Pelodiscus sinensis: one gene and its partners. The protein of the gene in region 2 interacts with the protein of the main gene of each other region in a pairwise test. Links are inferred from orthologs where the notes say so. Each region holds a gene or a part of one and is shown on either strand. Other genes may lie near its edges.

Evidence for each region.
Region 1: the proteins of RBM41 (region 2) and RINT1 interact in binary tests that used the Homo sapiens proteins (3 or more experiments, as listed by UniProt). The two-hybrid records come from large-scale screens. The link is inferred for Pelodiscus sinensis from reciprocal best matches to the Homo sapiens genes RBM41 and RINT1.
Region 3: the proteins of RBM41 (region 2) and RALYL interact in binary tests that used the Homo sapiens proteins (3 or more experiments, as listed by UniProt). The two-hybrid records come from large-scale screens. The link is inferred for Pelodiscus sinensis from reciprocal best matches to the Homo sapiens genes RBM41 and RALYL.

The regions. Positions count from the first base shown.
Region 1 is NC_134711.1:25,491,241-25,498,611, reverse strand, and holds the start of RINT1 (RAD50-interacting protein 1), read right to left. Parts: upstream 3,063-7,371; 5' UTR 3,057-3,062; coding exon 2,899-3,056; intron 2,869-2,898; exon of another isoform or gene 2,309-2,868; intron 1,003-2,308; coding exon 807-1,002; intron 563-806; coding exon 321-562; intron 1-320. Other genes in the region: PUS7 (pseudouridylate synthase 7 homolog), read right to left, coding at 6,038-6,174, 7,180-7,271. UniProt on the Homo sapiens protein: Involved in regulation of membrane traffic between the Golgi and the endoplasmic reticulum (ER); the function is proposed to depend on its association in the NRZ complex which is believed to play a role in SNARE assembly at the ER.
Region 2 is NC_134723.1:4,116,909-4,124,946, forward strand, and holds the start of RBM41 (RNA-binding protein 41), read right to left. Parts: upstream 3,083-8,038; 5' UTR 2,950-3,082; coding exon 2,942-2,949; intron 249-2,941; coding exon 132-248; intron 1-131. Other genes in the region: NUP62CL (nucleoporin-62 C-terminal-like protein), read right to left, coding at 7,240-7,331. UniProt on the Homo sapiens protein: May bind RNA.
Region 3 is NC_134712.1:47,014,434-47,022,327, forward strand, and holds the start of RALYL (RNA-binding Raly-like protein), read right to left. Parts: upstream 3,033-7,894; 5' UTR 2,896-3,032; intron 2,720-2,895; exon of another isoform or gene 2,417-2,719; intron 1,554-2,416; exon of another isoform or gene 1,467-1,553; intron 1-1,466.

The DNA of each region.
Region 1 (7,371 bases), on a different chromosome or scaffold from region 2:
AAAATAAATAGTGAAGATACAGAGTTTATATTCAATTGTGACAAACGCCACATTTTCTACATTAGACAGTAAACTGTGACCCTTTCATTCCCATGTCCAAAATACATCACCAAATTTAGTTACAAATGAAAGTAATGGCATTATCAATATGAGATCTGAATGTTCAGTCGGTAGCTGAATTAGCAAGAGTTATAACTGTCTGCATTTAAAAATACAGATTTATAACTCCAAAATTGTCTCAAATGTATTTAACACCACTTAAGCTCTAAACAAAATACAAGGCAACAAGATAGGCCAACCTGGCCTTCTAACTATTTTACCTTAACTCTTCTATTTGTGAAATCCATTTTAGATAAGCCAGGTGTCGTTCAACCTCTTCTATTTGACTAATCAGTACACCGAGATCCTTCATCCATGGCTGAGCTGTCAATAGGTGGCTATTAATTGAACCAAATAAAACAGTTTCTTCCTCCAGAAGCTGATTAAGAGACGTCTTAGAATCCTCTGCATTCTTTAAGGCCTTCTGAATTCTTTTGGGAACTTCTGATGAAACGGTAAGTACCTGTGTTTAGGAAGGAGCAATGCATCTGACACAGAAGTACTGAGACCTTTCTTTCAGTGATCAAACAAATGTGTCTTTCATAGATTTTCATGCATAACAAAGTGCAAGAGATAATCATAACATGACAGCTTAGCTGACATTGTGTGGCAAGTTACCAAAATGTGCTGATGTGACCAGATGTATGCAATTGATGGTACATTTTTATTGTTTTAAGGACTTGAGAAATAACTAATCTAATGCTTACCTGTTCCTCTAATTGCTTTTTATTTTCTGAAAGCTCCTCTATAAGTTTGCCAAGTTTCCTTAGGCAATTAAGGTCAGTTCCAACTTCTCTTTCAACAAATTCAGCTACATAATAAGGGATGTCACAGCTATCGGGGTCTCTAACGAATTGTTCCCTTCCAACATTAATGGCCGCCATGTTTACATCACCTGCAGGACTGAGTTAAAGAGTCTACGGTTAGCCATCACCCACACAGCACTATTAACCACCATAAACCATCATATGTAATGGGCCAAACAAAATTTCATCTTAAAAATTTCAATTCAGTTCAAATCAATTAAAAATACCATCTTCCATTCAACTACACAAATGCTTAAAGATAGCCACATGCATAAGTCTTGGCAGAACCAGGGCTTAAGTTTACAAAATGATATTATTATACACACTACTAAGGACATTATACCATTATATCACTCAACAGAACTGAAACATTCCAACTATGCAGAGAAATCAGTCAGCTTTCACTCAGAATACTGCATTTTTTTCTAAAACCAAATTCAATGTTTTTACGTCTGTGCTAGATGGTATGTATAAAAATATTGGAATAGGTACAGATGACTTCCCTCACCCCTACACATAGTAAAAATGTTCCAGCACTTTTAACTGGTGGATATATCATTGCTAATAGAGGAGTGTCCTGGTAAACATCAGCTAGTTACCTGGTTTAATATTCACATCCCTACTTTTTATAGCACAAGTTTTATTTTCTTTCTTCTAACTATGAACATGCCTTAGACGGCACTACTCAACTCTGGAAGCCCCAGGGGCCACAATTATACTCACAGCAAGTGCTGAGGGCCGCAACATTACTGTGGTAGCATACACATGCAAATATATATGCAAATATATGCCAATAGCTTATTTAAAACTGACAGACATGAATACAAAGATTAAGGCAAGACTACACAACACACAGGCACAATTTAAGTCAGTTCTGCTATTTATAAAATGCAGTATTTATCCGATTTCCACCCATATGAGAGCACTTTTAATGAACAATGACAGTCCAGGAATTTAACTACTAAAACGCATATCAACAGGAGACCATTATATAGAATACTTTTTTGTTTCGGCTCCCATCCATCGGCCCCAGGCCGCATGTTGAGTAGCCCTGTCTTGGACACTACTGTGAACCTAATGTCATGAAGAAAACTTTGCTGTTACCTAAAATCTATTTCACTACTACTAGCCTATATATAGTCTTAACTGAAAAACTCTGAAGACAAAGACTGAATATTTTGGAATATTGTTTTTCACTTATGATATTACAGCATGATCGCAGAAGGTAATTTCTATAAAGCCTTTATTACCATATGATAACATACTAAAAAGTATGTTATAACAAAATCATTTTACCAATCACTATTTCCACTCAAATTTTTCATTACTCTTAGGCATGCTCATTGCATGACTATTTTGAATGCTTATACATTTTTTAAAAATTGCAGATCTACACAGAGTACCTTTTACTGAAAGCAAAAGGTCACACGGCTTGTGGTGACTCTTAATTGCTGTAGAAATTCATTCCACCATCTTGGACCAAGCCCCAGACAGCACTGTGTTCTGGACTCTGGATTATGAGGCCCAGAGTAATTACATTCTCCTAGTGTTCAATGCATGATGTTGAGCTAAGCAGAACAGGCCCAGTTTCAAGGCAGGTCTGCACTACTGTACCAAACTGGCCGCCTCTACATCAATGCAGCAGCCCTAATGTAACGAGTCTGGCGAAGATGCTACACTGCCTGAGGACTAATTACTCCAGCTCAAGGAGAAGCGGGAGTTATACCAGAAGGAGAGTGCTGCCTGTCAACATAGAGCTGGCCCGGCTCTACACCTAGATGTAGACACTGCTTTAAAACAATGTAAACGTGTGTGTGTGTGGGGGGCATTTTCACTTCACCCCACTCCTCCCAGCGACATAACTAAAACTCCTCCCGCGCCGTGTAAACCCTCAGCAAGTCTTAACGACCCACTGCTCCAGAGAAGCGGGCGCACAATGACGATCCGCCACGCAGGGCGACTCGAGCAAACCCTCCTCCCCTCCGCTGCTCACTGGAGAGAGAGGCAGGGTAGCTGCTGCTCCTCCACCCCACCCGCTCTGACAGGGAGAAGAGAGCGTCTCGCCAACCACGGGGGCTCCTCAGCCTGCCGCGCTCCCTCTGGCCCCGCACGCTGTTCGCCCGCCCATGGTACCGAGTAGCGCCCCCGCATGCAGCCCTGCTCCCTACCAAGCCCCGCTGCCTGCCGGGAGCTAAGTCCCCCTCACCCGCTGACATCAGGCGCGAGCGCCGCTCTACCGGCTCGCCAGGGCACGGGCCCGATTTACTCACGCGCCACTGATCGCCTACGGGCTGGGCTGGGCTAAGCTGCCCGGCCCCCTCTCCTCTCCAGTTCCGTCCCTGCCTATAGCCGCCTAAGGGCGGCCGGAAACCCTCGCGGAGTCCCGCGAGAAGTGGGCAGAGTCAGGGAGGAGGGGAAGCGGAAGGCTATTACTCTCGGAAGCCTCTGTCCAGCCCATCAAGATCACGTGCTGACAGCCCTGCCACTCAAGACGCATGCGCGGTGAGAAATCCGCTCGTGTCACTATGTCGTTGTCGCCATCTGTAGCGCGAGGACGCTCTGGATTTTACGGCGCGAGCTGAGCCGGTTGATGCCTCGCTTTGGGGACAGTGGGTCTGGGGGAGCCTGGCCCTAGGTCTCCGAGCCCCAGGCACAGGGAGGGAGCGGATCACGTCCTGTCTCGCGACGCTGCGAACTCGCGCCTGCGCGCCCTGCGGTTGGGTTGCCGGACTGCAGCCGTTATGTCAATGGAAAGTGGGGGCTGGGGGCATAGGGGGTTCTAGGCCTCTTTGCAGTTAACGGGAGGCTCATATAGAATCATAGAGCTGGAAGAGACCAAAGGCAGGACCAGCCCCAACTAGATCAACCCAGCCAGGGCTTTGTCAAGCCGAGACTTAAACACCTCTAGGGATGGAGACTTCACCTCCCTACTAACCCATTCCAGTGCTTCACCATCTCCTACTGGAATAGTTTTTCCTAATATCCAACCTAGACCTCCCCCACTGTAACATGAGACCATTGCTCCTTGTTCTGCCATCTGTCACTACTGTGAACAGCCTCTCTCCATCCTCTTTGAAACCTCCCTTCAGGAAGTTGAAGGCTGCTATCAAATCCCCCATCTCTTCTGCAGACTAAACAGACCCAAATCCCTCAGTCTCTCCCTCATAGGTCATGCACTCCAGCCTCCTAATAGTTTTGGTCACCCTCCGCTGGCCCCTCTCCAATGTGTCCACATCCTTTCTACAGTGGGGGGCCCAGAACTGGACACAATACTCCAGTTGTGGCCTCACCAGAGCTGAATAAAGGGGAATAATCACTTCTGGATCTGCTGGCAATGCTCCTCCTAATGCACCCTAATATGCCATTAGCCCTCTTCACTACAAGGGCACACTGTTGACTCATATCCTGCTTCTCATCCACTGTAATCCCCAGGACCTTTTCTGCAGAACTACTACTTAGCGATTCGGTCCCCAGCCTGTAACAATGCCTGGGATTCTTCCGTCCCAAGTGCAGGACTCTACACATGTCCTCGTTGAACCTCATCAGATCTCTTTTGGCCCAATCCTCTAATCTGTTTAGGTCACTCTGGACCCTATCCCTTCCCCCCAGCTTAGTGTCATCTGCAAACTATCCATCCTTTCATCCAGGTCATTAATAAAGATGTTGAACAAAACCTGTCCTAGAACAGATCCTTGGGGCACTCCGCTAGAAAACCAACCTGACATCGAGCCATTGATTACTACCCACTGGGCCAGACAGTCTAGCCAGCTTTCTATCCATCTTACAGTCCATTTATCCAATCCATATTCCCTTAACTTGCTAGCAAGAATATTGTGGAAGATCGTATCAAAGCCTTTGCTCTATTGTGACAGGGGCGTGTGTGCCTGTGCATGTGTGTGAGAGAGATCATTGTAACAGTGGAGCTATGCATCCAAGGATTGATTCAGTTGTTCTGGTTGGGTCTCATGCTTTGATCTGCTATATCCTGGTTTCTAATTATGACCATAGAGAGGTTGGGAGGTTATTTGAAGGTGAGAAAAAAAGGCTCATGAAAGATTTCTCTGATACCCATATGGGTTCAAGGTGGGAGGAGAAAGGCGGTAACTAGAGGTGTATGTGGTCAGAGGGGTTTTTATTTCTGTACTAAAGCAGGTTCTCTTACCGTATGGGGCTGGCAACACTGCATATTTTCCTAAAAGTGAGGTGCTAACATTTTCATATTGTTGGTATGCAAAATCTTATTCAGTTTTTTATAAAAATGACAGTGCAAAGTGTCATATTTAACAATTTATTAACACAAGAAGCACAAACAGGTTTCTTATTTGTTTGGTTTTAGAAATTATAAAGTAAAAATGTAACCTAACTGCTGTCAATTGTTTTAGAATGGCTTTTTAATCCTTTTATGCCAAGACACAGATTTGCTTTCCTTATCCATTGCCGGCAACGGACACACTAATCATGCTGGTGCAAAGGAGTTGATATGAACTCTCATCAGGGCTTTTTGGTTAACTTGTTTTCATTATCTGTTCTTTGATACAGGTAGTACTAGTGATGAGGGAAAATGCACACAAATATTTTCATAATAAAATTTACAGCTCAACTTATAAAAACAGATGTACATGTTTATATCACATAAAAGGCACAAAAAATTCTGCCAGTAGACTCCTTTACCACATCAGTGCTAAAGCTACTGGCCTTCTAAGGCTACATTAATGTACTCCTTTTTATAAATATTCATCAGTGCCATACTTATTCTAATTAGCATTCCTCATCTGTAATGTAAGCATACTTCAAGAAGTTTTATTCTGTGCTGAATTCATGAAAGCATGTTGAATAATCACTGTATTTTTGGAAAAACAATTACTGAAGATCTGGAATTGCTATTGTAAGCCCATTTATTTGTAAGATATGGTTGGTTGTGCTACAGCTCAAGCACCTTATTTACTTATCATAATGTTAAAAATCTAATATTTATATTATTTTTACAAACACCATTTTGGATATAATCACTGAAACTAATAAAAAAGTAAAATATAAATTTTTGCTACAAATCTTCAAATCAAAACTAGAGTTTGCACAGAACAAATAAATTTTCACATCTTAAAATCTTTACATTACTTTAGAGCATTTGTTCAGCGTAACCATGTAGTATTCAGCTGTGTCTGGTTTTTTATGCTTGTGTCCATTTTTAGAACTTCTCGAATTGCCATGGTAGCATAAGTGGATGGGGGAAGAGAGAATTCCATCTTCAAAGCCTTGAATTTACCTTCTATTACATAAGAAAGGAAAGAATAATTGGCACATATAGTATATCTCCTCTGGGCATTATTTAAATTGGGCTGAAGGGCATGTGCAATTTAAGAAATCCAAAAATTCATTTATCAACCACTGAAATGTTCTGTGAAATTCAATCAATGCTACAACTTTCACGTAAGTGGCAGATGTGTGATGCAGAGTTTGCCCACAATGGAAAAAGTAAAGTTTTATTATTTATGGTAGCTAATTTTATTTTAAAATTCTTCCTTTTTGTCATACAACAATTTGATATTTCAAGTCTATTTTCCTCTCCTTCCTACAACCCAGGACTGAAGTAGTAAGGCCTATATGTCATAGTTGGATGTGTACTTTATTCAAAAGTTTCTATAACAGAATCATGAGATGTTAAAGTTCTTAAACTTTTAAACTATACTAATTCTCCTAGAAACAAATATTACATTTAGTAATTCCAGTTTTAACAAATAATATTTGAGATACTCTTCCGCTATCATATTATCAATCCTATTGTAAGCATTTTCTCAGTTATAATTTTAGCCCCACCCACAGTTAGGTAAAACACTAATCCATGCACTTAAAGCACACAAGTCTCCCACTGAACTTCAATTAAGCACAAAAGAAATCCCAATAAAGTTGAAGGAGAATATTCACATGCTTGAAGTCAAGCACATGGTGAAGTGCTTTGCTGAATTCTGGCCTAAGTCTGTCCCTCTTGTGCTTAATGCTAAGCATATGCATTTAATTTTCTACACAGTATAATGTAGTTAGTATGATTTGCTGAGCAAATGCTTGTACTTTTGAGAATCAGGTGACTTATTTAGGAGACTAATTTTAAGCACATCCTTTTGAACATTATAGGTTGATGTTTTGTCAAATATAACCTATTTATGTTTACATTCAACGTGTGTGATATGTAGCAGTTACAACTTCAAAGCAGTAGTTAGGTCAAACTTTATACTTAACAGTGTATAAATACCTGCAGAAAAGTTGTTACTCTTACCTGTAGCAAGAATAGGTGGTGGTTTTCCTTCCAGCTTATCCAAATCAGTATTAAATAATGGAATTCTAGGATCATCATATGCAACCACCTCCCTTTATGAAACACAGGGCAAAGGTGTTTTTTTTATTTTGAAATATTCAGTGAGACTGCATTCACCTCTGAATTTACACCCATTATTGTAATAATATTTCT
Region 2 (8,038 bases):
CACCAATATCTCAGCAGCCGCATGCGACAGCATCAATGCTGCTCCAGAATCAGAACGTGCTCTGTCCGCCAGCATGGGAGGCCATCAGCTACACCAGCCTCTTGTGCGTAGCCGGCTGGTTCAATACTCACTGTTCAATGGAAACAGCAGTCTCAAGCTGATGGTGAAGGAGGCTCTTCAGCTGCCGCTCTCCTTCTGTCTCCAAATCCTCCAGAAGAAGGTCATCACTAGACAGGCTGCTGTTGACCCTGGGCTCAGAAAAAAAACAGCGAGTAAGTCAGTAAGTTGCCGAGAGTGCTTTACTCCCTACACCTCCACATCAAGCGTATTCATATTCTGCTTTCCAGCCCTTTGTTAGAACACAAGGAAATCAGTGAGATAGTCCAGATGGGCTATCCAGAACAAGAGGGAACTAGAAATAACCGGCAAGGCAGAATGCCTCACTGATGTCCATTAGAAAGATGCACAGATGATTTTTAAAATATCCCACAAGCATCATCTTTTTAGTCATCCGTCATCCTGTAATGTTTAGTTACAGAAGATCTACTTTCATAAATGACTCCTGCCTAGCTTCAAATGATTCAGTGCAAAAAGGAAAAAAAAGCAACCTCCAAATCAAACACAAAGCCAGCGGAGACGGTCAAAGAAAGCAGGAAGTTGGCGGCATGCTAGAACGTAGTTACAAACTGGATTAGCAACCGGCCTTTCTTAAGGGAGAACTTGCTCCATGCATGGAATAGTGCCCCACGTTTGTTATTTCGTACCGAATTTTAAAGGCCATTGTTATCTACTGTTCTGTGATTGTTTCCGTCTCTCAGCGCCTGTACCAAGGTCAGAATAGGGGACGGGAAGAAATTGCTGATTTACTTCTCAAGCCCCATTCACAATCTTAAAGGCTGTTTCTGCTGAAGTGGTGAGCAGTGAAATGGTAACAGCGCAGACGTCTGACCCGTATTACGATTTAGGCTTTAATACTGTATTGGTATGAATGAAGCAGCCCACTACTATCTTCGGGCCGCTGTTGTCAGGCTGCCTCTCAGCTCAGGCGGTGAGCCAGGCACTGGGCAACATCTGGGCTTCTCCACAACAATCACAGCTAGAAACTTCCATTTGTTTTGAAATGAAAGCTTCAATTCCGTTGACCCCTAGAGACGCGCTGGTATAAGAGCAGCCACACGGATCAGAGCAATGGTCCATCAAGGCCAATATGCTCTTTCTGACCTTGGCTGGTACTAGATGCTTCAGAGGGAATGAACAAGACAGGGCCAATTTCAATTGATCCAGCCCAGTGTCCAGGCTTTCTGGCAATCAGAGGTTTCAGGACATGCTCATCATGGAGTTGGGCTCCTGATCACCTTGGCTAATTGGCACTGATGGCTCTATCCTCCATGAACTAATCTCTTCTGAACCCAGTTATACTTTTGGCCTTCACAACAGACTTTGCAAACAAGTTCCACAGACTGACCGTGCATTGGGTGAAGACCTACTTCCTTATGTTTGTTTTAAGCCTGCTGCCTACTAATTTCATTGGACGACTCCTAGTTCTTGTTATGTGATGGGGTAATGCCTTCCCGATTCGCTTTCTCTGCACCATGCGTAATAGTATAGACTTCTGTCATATCTGCTCATAGTCATCTCTTTGCTCAGATGCACTGTGCCAGGCCTTTTAATTTCTCCTCAGAGGGAAGTTGTTCCCTTATCATTTTTGTTGCCCTTCTCACTGCTTTTTCCAGTTCTTGTATTCTTTTTAGAGGTGGGGCAACCAGAACTGCACCCAGTATTCAAGGTGTGGGCATATTTGTACAGCTGCATTATGATCTTTTATTTTATCTTCTATTATTGGTTGTCGTGCCAGCTTAGTCTGGAGCCCTGTGTTAAACTGGAACTTCCTTTTAAAAAATCTCTACCAGAGTTTGCCCTTGGGAAAGACGCCCCCGCATCTCACCGAAGCTTTTAGCGTATCGTGTCAAGGGTACTGAAAGGGACCGGAGATGTCCTTGCCCTGTCTTGCTTCCAGGCTTTAAGAAAAACGCTAAGTATTGTGGGATTCGCACAAGATACAATCACAAGTGTTGGCAACGCTGGGATTCCTGTACAAACAGCTGCCTGCATTAGTCTCACAGGAAACTGTGTACAAGGAAACCATCCCCCCAGAGCGCCCTCAACCCCCACTCTTCCTCCCCCAGAGCACCCCCAACTCCACAGCCCCTACCCCCCATCCTTCCTCCCAGAGCACCCCATCCTTCCTCCCCCACCTCCCCTCCGTGCACCCCGAACTCCACAGCCCTCCATTCTTCCTCCCAGAGCACCCCATCCTTCCTCCCCTACCTCTCCTCCCCTGAGTGCACCCCAAACTCCACAGGCCCTACCTCCCATCCTTCCTCCCAGAGCACCCCATCCTTCCTCCCCCACCTCCCCTCCGTGCACCCCGAACTCCACAGCCCCCCATTCTTCCTCCCAGAGCACCCCATCCTTCCTCCCCCACCTCCTCTCTGTGCACCCCGAACTCCACAGCCCTCCATCCTTCCTCCCATAGCACCCCATCCTTCCTCCCCCACCTCCCCTCCGTGCACCCCGAACTCCACAGCCCCCCATCCTTCCTCCCAGAGCACCCCATTCTTCCTCCCCTACCTCCCCTCCCCTGAGTGCACCCCAAACTCCACAGCCTCTATCCCCATCCTTCCTCCCGAGTGCACCCCGAACTCCACAGGCCCTACCCCCATCCTTCCTCCCCCACCTCCCCTCCGTGCACCCCGAACTCCACAGCCCCCCATCCTTCCTCCCAGAGCACCCCAATGCTGCATCCCCAGCCTTCCTCCCCCCGCTGCCCCTCCCCTGAGTGCACCCCGAACTCCACGCTCTCCCCCCCCCCCCCGCATCTCCCTTCTTCCCCAGCGCAGCGCCCGTCCGGCTACATGATTCCCGGAAGCCTCCCCCTCACCTGCGCATGGCTCCGGCCCCTTCCAGCTCAGGGCCTGGACTGCAACTCCCAGCAGCACCGCGCAACCCGCGTGAACGAGCGAGGCGGGCCCCGCCCCATGGGCTTCTGGGAGTTGTAGTACAGTGAAGCTCAGCCCTGCCCCCGTCGCTAACCCGCAGGGGAGTCCTGCAAGCTGGCAACACGGGGGCCTGTCCTCTTCTTCCCTGCGCCCAGCCCTGCTCCCCATGCAGCAGATCCCAGGGGCTTCCTCACAGCTAGATTGGGGTGCCTGAGCCCCAGCATGGCCTGCTATTAGTCAGCATGTTGAGTATGGTGTGACAGGCACCAGCCATGATCGAGCCAAGCGCCATACAGACACCAGCAAGTCCTTCTTACACTGAGGCTGGGTCTAGACTGGCAAGTTTTTCCGCAAAAACAAACGCTTTTGTGGAAAAACTTGCCAGCTGTCTACACTGGCCGCTTGAATTTCTGCAAGAACAGACTTCTTACTGTCTGAAATCAGTGCTTCTTGCAGAAATACTATGCTGCTCCCGTTCAGGCAAAAGTCCTTCTGCGCAAAAGGGCCAGTGTAGACAGCTCAGATTTGTTTTGCACAAAAAAGACCCGATCGCAAAAATGGCGATCAGGGCTTTTTTGCGGAAAAGCCTCTAGATTGGCACAGATGCTTTTCCGCAAAAAGGGCTTTATATGTATAGCAACTGCAGGCCTGTTCCTGACCGGGCACTAGTGTAACTTCAGGGGGTAGCTGAGTTAGTCTGTACAGGATAAACTTAAAAAACAACAAATAGTCTGGTAGCACTTTAAAGACTCACAAAACATGTGGATGGGATCATGAGCTGTTGTGGTCTGAAGAAGTGGGCTGTGCGCACAAAAGCTCGTGATACCATACGTTTTGTTAGTCTTTAAAGTGCTACCAGACTATTAGTTGTTTTTTAAGCTTATTAACCTCAGCAAACATCAGGAGCATCAGCTCAAGTGATGGGTCAGCTAAAGTGATAGGACAAACCAATGGAGAGGGAAGGGTAGACTGTATTACCAGCTCTATCTTGCAATCTTATAAGTCAAGCCTGCCGAACTCGGAAAGCAACAAGGGCCATATTACTCCAAAGAAGACAGCTGCGGGCCACAAGTCTACACTTGGCCCCATGACATTTCGTCTCTCCTTCACCCTATCCCCGCTTGGTGTCTTCCCCTTTCTCCTGACCTGCCCCTCTCCCCTCAGCACAAGCCCCTTCTCCTCCCCTACCTGGCTTCTGCCTTTTTGAATCCAGCGATCACTGACCGTGACATCATGTCACGCCAGCGTCCTGGCATCTGCCAGCATCCCGCCCTCTGGCTCACACCCCGCCTCCTCGCGCCAGAGCTGCACCTAGGCAGCCTGGTGGCGATAATCACACTTCCCGCTCCCCTTCTCTGTCCAGCCAGCGGATCGGATGGGGCCACACAGTGAGCCCCTGCGGGCTGCATGTTGTGCAGGCCTGATGTAGATGGTATCATGAGCTTTTGTAGGCACAGCCCACTTCTTCAGACCATGACAGCTCACAATACCATCTACAAGTTTTGTTAGTCTTTAAAGTGCTACCAGACTATTGGTTGTTTAAGTTTATTAACCTCAGTAAACATCAGGAGCATCAGCTAAAGTGATGGGCCAGCTAAAGCGATAGGGCAAACCAAGGGAGAGGGAAGGGTAGACTGTATTACCAACTCTATCTTTCAATCTTATAAGTTGGCTGGAGACAGTCATTTCTACTCCATGACGCTGAGTTAGAGAGCACTGAGAAGGGAAGCTGCATCTCTCCAGCCTATCAGCATGCCTGGTGTTTGTTTTCTTATTAGTGCAACAGTAAATTCTATACACCTTGTATCTGAGCAAATCTTTGTACAAACTAAGCTCAATCCAGTTTCACCACCTTCCTACAAACAACATATAAATTCAGTCTAAAACAACAAAGAATATAGATGTCCACTGCCACTTGCCCCCATGGTCCACATATGGTATAGAATTCATTGAACACTACAAGTGCTCAAGAATAAGACCCAGATCAACAAATACATTCAGGTTCCTAATTTCCACTGAAGTCAAATATCTTTGTGGATCTGGGGCTAAGTTAAGGTGGACAATAAGCATCCCATGGGCTGAGCCACAACTTTCCCCAGCTCTCATTGGCTGGGAACAGCAAACCATGATCAATGGGAACTGCAAGAGGCCATACCTGTGGACCTGCAGGTAAATAAAGTATCTGGCAGTCTGCCAGAGGCTAACCGTGGCAGACCACATGTGGCCCATGGCTGCTTATTGCCCACCCCAGGGCTAAGTGTTGCTGAAATGCCAATTTTCCTCTGAAGAGACAAGGTGAGTGAAGTAACATCTTTCATTAGGCCAGCTGATGTTGATGCAAGACTATGTTCAAGCTATATACAGTGTGACAGCACGTTGGGGTTTTCCCGTTTCCTGCACCCCCGTAATGGCACGGACAGACTCCACCAGCCAGTAGAATAGAGGGCGTTTATTGCTCCTCCAGGATACAGCACAGCACAGCACAGATGTAATCTGGTTACAGGGCCTGGGGCTAAGAGGCCTCAGTGCCCCTCCTTGAGATGGGGGGTAGCTGGGCCCTACAATCCCAACCCCCTCCCTAGCTCCTTCTCCCCTGCTTCCCAGACAGCCACTAAAGACCCGTCCCTGCCAGCCCTGCCCCCAGCCAGGGGCAGCATTCCACCTTCCTTTGTTCCGCTCTCTGGGGGGTAACTGGTCGAACAGGTCACCTCCCTGTCCCATCAGCTACTCTACTGGGCCGTGGTACAGACAGCAGCCAGTGTGGCTCACTCACAGCCCAAGCCTAGCAATCAGCAAGGTACCCCCACTAGTCACAAACAGCTCTTCAGGTCTTGGAGTAACTCAAAAACTTGTTTCTTTCACCAACATCAGCCTGTCCAATAAAATATATTTATCATCTCACCCACTTTCTCTAACCCTAGGGACCAGGACACCTCCAACAATTTACCTGCAATCTCATGATCTTTGAATCAGAAAAGAAAATGCATAGAATTATGACATCTCAGAAAAGACTGGGATACAAGCATGAAGGGAGCACCCAACTTATTGCAGATGGCAGAATGCAGGCCGTGGTTTCAGAAGTGGAAACAGGCCCAGTTTAGCATGGATTAGTTTAAGTAAACAAGCAGGAACCTTTGTTTTAATTTACCACTTTCAACCTTGTTTTACATTAGTAGTTTAGTTGGTTTGCTAAAGAGAGGCTGATTCTTATTAGAGCAATGTTATGCAACAAAATACACTAAATGTGGTACTTTTGGCTCATCAGGATACACTATTTATACACATTTAAATCATTTTATATCTTACAATAAAAGATTAATATTTACTCAGGTCAGAAAATGGTAAATAGTACACTTCTTTAGTAGATTACATTTTCACATGTGATTGCTGTCAAGCTCTATTTATGGAATGTGGAATTCAATTAAAAATGTCCCCGAACCCCAACATTTTAGTTTTATTTAACCAAAGAAAAAACAAACTTACAAGTGCTAGATACATAAGAAAAGAAGTTTATCAAAACCTGTTTGCATTTAAAACTTATTAAAACAAAGGAAGTATTATCTGTACTTGAATGGAACTATTGCTTCTGGTCACCATCTGCTCACACTTTGTCATAGAGTGGAAGAGAAAACAAGCAGGCCCTGGCTCCACCTCAACTCCCAATCATCTTAACATTTAATGAACTAATCACTGAACTGAAACAGTTGAATAAGCTGAAATGAACTAAATGTTATCTGCACAAGAGGCTATTGCTTTCCAAAGCTGGTTTACCACTTTAACAAACTGGTTAAAGTCACTTTGCCAGTGACTTCCATCAGTTTGATGATCTGACTCAGTGGCAAACATGAAATAACTTTTTCAAAATGCAAGTAATACAATAGCATATGCAAAGCTTAGATCTGAATGTACATCGTCATAAGTCCGATTTTAATGTAATACTGAGCTGGAGAGGTTATCCCTGTCACTTCTTGGGGTTTAAAATATTCTAAAAAGTCAGCAAACAATAACTGAGTTAAATGAATGAAACATATGTACAAAAAAAAATTCACAGAAATGCTGCAGAACTAAGAAGCTCCATGCAATCTATGGTGTGAATCAGTATAGGAGGTTTGACACAAAAAAGCACTTTATTAAAACAAAAAAACACCAAGAGGATATCACAATTTTACTCCATTTTCGCAAAGTTTTTACATAATGGCTATCCAGTAAATATTATAGCAGTAGCGATTTCTTGGATTGCTCAATCAAACGTGATCCGAAAACTGCGTTCCTGTTCCTTTCGGCGGCTCTCGCAAACTTTCGTCACCTCCTCCACTTTCCTCTGCAGCAGAGCTGTTGGGAGAGTGCAAAAAAACCCACAATACATGCATGTTTTTCATAAGAAGCATCCGTGGGCAGTACAGATCTGGAGGAGAGAAGAGTGTCCCAAAGACCGAGGATCAAAGGTTAAGACAGGTTTTGGAAAAGGAAGGGAGATGAAACCCAGCACAGGATACTGCTGATCTGCTCAAAGTACAGTACACTGGATGGCTAGGATGGCAGAAGAAACCAAATGGACAAGCCTAAGAGGACATTTCAGCCACTGCTCCAATCTTCCTTGCTCACCCAACTTCAATTTGATTTACGTCCGAACAACAGAAATTAATTACCTTTTCAGCATTTTTTTTTTTTTTACCAAGTCAGAAACTAAACACTTGCTAAACCTAAGTAGCCAGATCTGGCTCCGTACTTGAAAATACACAAATCACACTTCATACACTATCCTCTCAGCTCCCTTCATGACCTATAATCCATTCTGCTACAATTTTCAGTGGTTACTTAATTAACCGCTTTTTAACATCCCTAGTTACAATTGTCTAGAAAAACTGATTTGTTTTCATGAAGTGGCCCTGAAGGTGTTTTAGGGAATGGGATTTACAAACTTGTGAAGAGTCTCTGATTCTAGAAACTACACTGCACCCAGTCCCATCAATGGGACAAGCCATTTTGGCTGTCAAAGAAGGGGATATGTGATGGATGAGTATAAATAAGAACATTTG
Region 3 (7,894 bases), on a different chromosome or scaffold from region 2:
GTATGTGGATAATGAAAAGGACATTTATCAATAGTTACTGATACAAATCTAATCCTTACAAGCCTAAATCAAGGCAGAAGTCTGGGACTTCTTAAAATGTGAGTTATTGACTCTTAGTAGATTGTAACTACTCCAAAAACAGTATTATAATCTATCATGTAAATATAGTGATTTTTTGAAATATGGATTATTAACTCAATAGCAAATTAATTCTGTGTTGTTGTAAAAGCCCAGCAGGCATGTAGAATAGACACTTTTCTACACAATATAACTAAATTGCAGGGACGAGGGGGGGGAGAATCAGTTTAAAGAGCAAAGTATTTGCAAGTTCCAGGAAAGTAAATATGTATACAAAGTTTCTAACTTCCAAAGCATTTTAGTCTTATAAATGAAAAATAGACAGAATATTTCTTTTTACATCTACAAAAAAGTATTACGTAAAAGATGCTTTGTTTTCAATGCTTAAATGCTGAGGAAATTTTTCTGACCAAGTTTCCCTGAAATCTATTCATAGAGAATACACTCAACAGCATCATCACAATAAAGTGTATCACGCATAAGACTGCAGATTCAAGCATTCAGCACCTCAATTTTGATAAAATACTCAGCTCTCTCTTTCTGGAAAAAACTGAGATGGAAAACGCTTTCAATATCATATTTAGTATATCAACTTCTCTAAATCCAGAACAGTTTAGGAGCTTGTTAAGCAGCTAAGTCCTATTAAAGCAAAGTAACAGTTTCTTCCCTAATCTTGAACTTTCAGCGACAGTCAGAGAAAAAGTAGCTGATTCCTATGCCCTGTCAGACAGTAGCATTAATAATCACCAAAACAAAAGGAAACACCTCAAAATATGTATCTGCTTATAATTAATCACTACCCCAATGAGGTAAACCTGGCAGAAATGACCTGCTTTCTGCCTTGATTAGTCCTTGTTAATAAGGGGAGCATAAATTAGAAATAAGAGGATTGTTATCGTTATGGATTTGGAATATGTGTCAGACTCATATGGCAGTGAGCCAGTTTCTCTGACGGACTGCTGCTGCTGTATCTCTCACAGCCACCTATGATTTTATAATAGGCATTTTTTAAAACTCGAGTCTCTTTCTCTCTCTATTTCTCTCTCTTTTCTTCCTCACAATCCAGTCCAGTTATTTTTAAGCCCTAGACGCTCCCTGCTCATAACTTGCATCTCCCGGTTCAATTCAGGTTTGTCAGCTGGGTACCCGCATGTCTAGGATAGTACATAAACTATCACACACAGACTAACCGACCTGGGCTCAATTAGTGCAGCATTTTGGACACATTCGAGTAATCAAGAGGCAGAAATTTAGTTTCGTCTTCATTTAATTGAGAACACATATTTAGCGAGGGATCGAGAATTTTACATAATTATTATTAATAATTATTATTATTCTCGTAACGTAATTTACAAAAGAGTGGAAACGCCTACAAGGAGATGAAGTACCTGCACTGGGGAGATGTTCAGTTGTTCACTTCATCTTCCGTTGACAAGGAAACCAACCCGCACTTCATTCTCCAGGAAAACCTTCCACTGCCATCATTTTAAAATGTATTTATTTGTATATATGTGCATATCTATCATCATAATCATCATAATAAAATTATCTCGGTAAAAGAATAAAAAAGTCAAATGTGCAAAAGTAACGATCATTGCTTTGGCTTTTTTGTTTGTTTGGCTTTTTTAAGGAGGAAAAAGTATTAAAAAATGATCAACTCTAACAAGCTGCAAGAAAAGTTTCACGTTATAAACGGGCATCAAAGCAAAAAAGAACAAAAACTGCTGATTGCACCGAGTGTCAAAAAAAGGAAACAACCAAAAATAATAAAATTAACATCTTGCTCAGTGGCCTGCACCAGTATTGCAAGATCACAAACTCTTTGTAAACACTGCTGTAAAATGCATTTGCAATTCACATCTATATACAAAAAAAATAAAAATAAAAATGAAAAAACATCAAAACAACATTTGGAAAAATTCTCTGCAAAAGAGTTAGAAACATGCCTTTTCTCCTCATCTTTAAAAAAACGCACAATATTTCACATTGCTTTCTTTTTCTCGGGCCATAACAAAACCAGTTGCATATCTAGAGCTAGCGCTAATAATTGTATATATAGCTATATTTTTGCTGGACTGGTAAGTCTTAAATGTTATTGCATTGCTCAATTCCCAGTGACTCCCAGCCCCAGCAGCACCTTTTGCTCACAGTCTAGTAACCATCGCATGCTAAGAAGAAGAAGAAAAACAAAAACAAAAACAAAAAACTTGGCATCAGAAAAAGGATCAAATCCCTGGAAACAATAATCAAAGAGGAAGAAAAAAAGAAGAAAAATAAAAAAGGAAGAAAAAAACAGGACAAAAAAAGAGGACAAGAATGTCAGCGGAAAGGTACTCACCGAGCGGGAGTAAAAGAGAGGAATAAAAATGAGTTACTATAAAATACAGTATGGCGGTGGAAGAAGGAATGAGGCGCTTCCCCCCCCCCCCTCCTCTCTAGTCTCTGCCTCAGGCAGCGGACACGTGATTCGCAGCCAGGCTGACTCGCAGGCAGGGGGAAGGGGTTCGCCCCGCTGGAGCAGCCCAATTCACTCCCACGGCGGTGGCGGCGGCAGAAGCGAGCGGGAGGCTGGAGCCCGCAGCTAGCGGCAGGAGCTGGCGCCTCGGCTGCTTGCGCGGCGGCAGCAGCGCGAGCCAAGCAGGTGCCTCTCGCCCCAGCGCCACGCGCCGCACACACACCCACCCACACACACACACCCGCGCGGCTAAGTCAGGGGCGCGGGCGAGCGAGGCGGAGGGGAGTTGAAAGCGGAGACCGTGCGAGCGGGAGCAGCTGCCTGTGTGTGTATGTCGGAGCTACAACTTGCTGCCTCCTCACCTCAAAGTTATCGCTGCAGCTTCCGGTGCTCCCAAATTACCTGCTCCATAAATCTCCCCTTCTTTCTAGGTTGCCGAGGGCCGGACTGAGTGGCAAGTGTCAGTGCAAGTCAGCGCGTCTCCAGCGCCGCTCGCCACTGCACGGAGGCAGAGAGGCTGAGCGGTCGGTAGCTGTACTTTCTGCTGGGGATGGCTCGGCTCCGGCCAAGTGCAAGCCCCAAGCGATGCTTGTCCAGAGCGTGCTCACATGTTCACGTTTGCAGCTGGACAGAAATTAGAAAGTGCCGAGAGACGCGTTCATTATTTCTCTACTTTGTTTTTGCTTTCCTGGCCTCTGCTCAGTGTTTGCCTTGGTGCTGAGGGGGGCTCTTGTTTTTAATAACAAAGTTATTGGCAGAGGCAAGTCAAACAAGTGACTCCAGAAGAGCTGTTCTGGGAGAGCGCTTTGCAGGCAGCCTGTGCTAGGCAGGGAAGCAGCAATGCATCATCACGCAGACGGCTAGTTCCTCGGCAGGTTAACTCTTTCAGCTGGATGGTAGGTGAGCCTGTTGTTCCGCATCCTTGCTCATGTTTAACGGGATCCTGTGTTAGCTAAAGGGCATTCCCTATAATCAAGGATCCCTTCCTGTGCCCCTCGCTCTCCTGAGGTTTTATTCAAGAGTGACTAAAGCATGGTGTTCCAGACTATAAAGTAAGCAAGAACTATCCCAGGCTGTCACTCATACTTAAGACTGTGTGAGAGTTGTGTAGGTTTTTTGTTTACTTCAGAAGGGGCCATCATGATCATCTAGTCACAAAGCTATGTGCATTCAAACCAGGAATACACTGTGGGGGAAGTCTTCAAATCTAGGCTATATCTACTCTGGGAAAGATTGGCAACAAAAGTGTGGTCAACATGCAAAAGTGCCAAAAGTGAAAAATGGTCCAACTGGTTTTTCTGCTTCCCATTGTTGACATTCCATGGCCATATTGCTAGTACCTCCATGGACCCGCATCCCACAATGCAGTGTGTGGGAAGGCAGAGCTGATACCTGTGCTCCTTAGTTCTCCCACAACATTCTCAGATGCTGAGAGCAGCTCTGTGAATTCTCCATGCAGAGGAATGTCAAAGCAGCACAGCAGTCTCTCCAGTCTGCCCCCTGCAGTAGCAATCTGCCTGCTGCTGTGTTTCTAGCGGGACAGAACAGAAGCATTACAATGATTTGCTCTTTGTTTTTTCCCCAAACAAAGCAGCTCATTCAACTGTCGGATATTTCTCAGGGCTTTGAAAGATGAGGGGTGCATGCCTGCAGGGTAGCAGAGCTCACAAACCACAGCCATGGAAGCAGGCAGTGTGACAGAGGGAAGTCAGTTCTCTGGGGAAAAAAAGCAAACAACAGAGTCCACACTAGCTCTTTGTCGAAAATAAAAGGAGAGGAAAAGACAAAAATCTCTGGCAGGACTGGAAGTTTTTTGTTGCCAAAGCTAGATGTTTTCCCCAACAAACGTAGCACTGCAGTGTAAACACGCTTAATGTTTTGTTGCTAAAAGGCAGTTTTGAATGACAAAACATGCCAGTGAACACAAGACCCTAGATTTAAAGACTCTTAAGTTACCCACCATTTATTTTAGTTCAAACCAGCAAGTGATCTGTGTTCCATGCTGCAGAGGAAGGAGAACTTCCCTCCCCTCAGGTTTCTGTCAATCTGACTTAGGGAAAACAATCCTTCTCAACCCCAAATCAATTAGCTTAGGGGTGGGCAATAATTTTTGACAGGGGGCCACTCCAAGATTTTGGAAAGTGGTCAAGGGCCGCACTCTTCCATGATGTTAATGGAGGAGATGTGGAATCTGGGATGGAGGTAGGGTACAGAAGGGAGCTTGGGGTAATTGATTGGGATGCAGGAGGAGATTAGAGTCTGGGAGGGAGTTTGAGTGAAGGAGGCAGTTGTAACCTAGGGCAAGCAACTGAAGTGCAGGGCTTGGGGATGTGACCTAGAGTAGGAGGGTAATGTGATCTGGGAAAGAAGATTGGGGTGCCAGATCTGGAGAGGGTTTGGGTGTAAGAGGGGGACAGAGGGTTTGGGTATGTTGAGTGGGAGTCAGAGGGTTGGGGCAGGAAAGTGCTGGGGTGCTAGAAACAGGGTGTGGCCAAGAGACTTGCCTGTCAGCTGCCAAACTAGCCTGCCTGCCGAGCTTAAAACATTTCCCAGCCAGCCAGCCTGCTTCCCTGGCCATGTGCTTCATTGAATAACTGAGCCGAGAAGAGAGAGCATAGTTCTTCTTGGCTGCCTGTTATACTAACAAACAGCTCCCATTGGCTGGTTTCTAGCCAGAAACCAGCCAATGGCAGCTCCTGAAACTTCCCCCTTCCCTTCCTGTTTCAAAACAGAAATGGAGCCCTGAAGCCTCATTTGTAAATGGCACACGGGGCTGCAGGGCAAGCAGAGGAGCCTGCCTGGGGCTCCCTGCTCCCTCAGCGGGTCAGATCTGGTGGATTGGTGGGCCAGATCCATGCCACAGGCTGTATTTTGCCCAGGCCTGAGTAAATCCTCCACATTTGGGCAAGACCCACCAGCCAGATGCAGCCCTCCTTGTCTATTGTCTTCTTTCTGTCTTTTAGAGATATTTACTAATAGCAGTCATGAATGGGTCATGTGTCCTTGTGGGTAGTACAATGATTAACATCATCATCAACCATCCCCTCCATAAACTTGTCAAGTTCTGTCTTGGAACAATTTTTTTTGTTTTTTTGTTTTGTTTTGTTTTGTTTTGTTTTCCCCACAGTTTCCCTTAGAAGGCTCTTCCAAAATTTCACTCTTTGGATAGGCCTCAGAGGAGAAGTCATGCTAGTTTTTATCTGTAAAAATGTGGAGTCCTGTGGCATCTTAAAGATTTATTTGGGCATAATATTTCGTGGGTCAAAACCACTTTGTCTGATTTATGGAGTGGAAATCACAGAGGTAAGAAGTAGGGATGTAAAGGGCTAACCAGTTAACAGACAGCCCACCCGGGTTGGAGCAGACCCCCACCTGATGCAGCCTGGGGGGCGGATGCAGCCTTGTCATGGGCAGCGGTCATTTTAATCCAGCTGAGCCCACCATGCCATACCATGGCTGAGGAGTGGTCAGCCCAGCATGACAAGATAGGCCTGGCCAGGCTGGAGCAGCTCTCCAACCATGGCATGGTATGGCAGGCCTCGCCCAAGCAGCCGGTGGCATGGCAAGGGGCCACCCAGACCAGCTGGGCCCCCCGCCTGCAGGATCCTGGTTAACTGGTTAAATGTAACATATAAACCTCATATAACATATAAATGTTATGTGTAACATAAATGGCATTTTAGTCGGAAAATATATATCTTACAATAGATTTTAGAAATGTGTGTATGTCTGTCTATCTGCCTGTGAGTCTCTTCAAGAACTCCTACATAAGAACGGCCGTACTGGGTCAGACCAAAGGTCCATCTAGCCCAGTATCCTGTCTACCGACAGTGGCCAGCACCAGGTGCCCCAGAGAGGGTGGACCGAAGACAATGATCAAGCGATTTGTCTCCTGCCATCCCTCTCCAGCCTCTGACAAACAGAGGCCAAGGACACCATTTTATCCCCTGGCTAATAGCCTTTTATGGACCTAACTTCCATGAATTTATCCAGCTTCTCTTTAAACTCTATTATAGTCCTAGCCATCACAGCCTCCTCTGGCAAGGAGTTCCACAGGTTGACTACACGCTGTGTGAAGAAGAACTTTCTTTTATTAGTTTTAAACCTGCTACCCATTAATTTCATTTGGTGTCCTCTAGTTCTTCTATTATGGGAACTAATAAATAACGTTTCTTTATCAGCCCTCTCCATACCACTCATGATTTTATAGACCTCTATCATATCCCCCCTCAGTCTCCTCTTTTCTAAACTGAAAAGTTCCAGTCGCTTTAACCTCTCCTCATATGGGACCCGTTCCAAACCCCTAATCATTTTAGTTGCCCTTTTCTTAACCCTTTCCAAGGCCAAAATATCTTTTTTGAGGTGAGGAGACCACATCTGTACACAGTATTCAAGATGTGGGCGTACCATAGTTTTATACAGGGGCAGTAAGATATTCTGGGTCTTATTTTCTATCCCTTTCCTAATAATTCCTATTTGCCTTTTTGACAACCGCTGCACTCTGTGTGGAAGTTTTCAGAGAACTGTCCACGATAACTCCAAGATCTCTTTCCTGATTTGTCGTAGCCAAATTAGCCCCCATCGTACTGTATGTATAGTTGGGGTTATTTTTCCCGATGTGCATTACTTTACACTTATCCACATTAAATTTCATTTGCCATTTTGTTGCCCAATCACTCAGTTTGGTGAGATCTTCTTGGAGTCCTTCACAGTCTGCTTCTGTCTTGACTATCCTAGACAGTTTGGTATCATCTGCAAACTTTACTACCTCACTGCTTACCCCTTTCTCCAGATCATTTATGAATAAGTTGAAAAGGATTGGTCCCAGGACTGACCCTTGGGGTGCACCACTAGTTACCCCTCTCCAATCTGAAAATTTACCATTTATTCCTACCCTTTGTTTCCTGTCTTTTAACCAGTTCTCAATTCAAGAAAGGACTTTCCCTCTTATCCCATGGCCATGTAATTTACACAAGAGCCTTTGGTGAGGGACCTTGTCAAAGGCTTTCTGAAAATCCAAGTATACTATATCTACTGGATCCCCCTTGTCCGCATGTTTGTTAACTCCTTCAAAGAACTCTATGGGTATGTCTACACTACCCCGCTAGTTCGAACTAGCGGGGTAATGTAGGCATACTGCACTTGCAAATGAAGCCCGGGATTTGAATTTCCCAGGCTTAATTTGCATAAGCGGGGAGCCGCCATTTTTAAAACTCCGCTGGTTCGTACCCCGTGCAGCGCGGCTACACGGGGCACGAACTAGGTAGTTCGAACTAGGCTTCCTAGTTCGAACTACCGTTACTCCGCGTGAAATGAGGAGTAACGGTAGTTCGAACTAGGAAGCCTAGTTCGAACTACCTA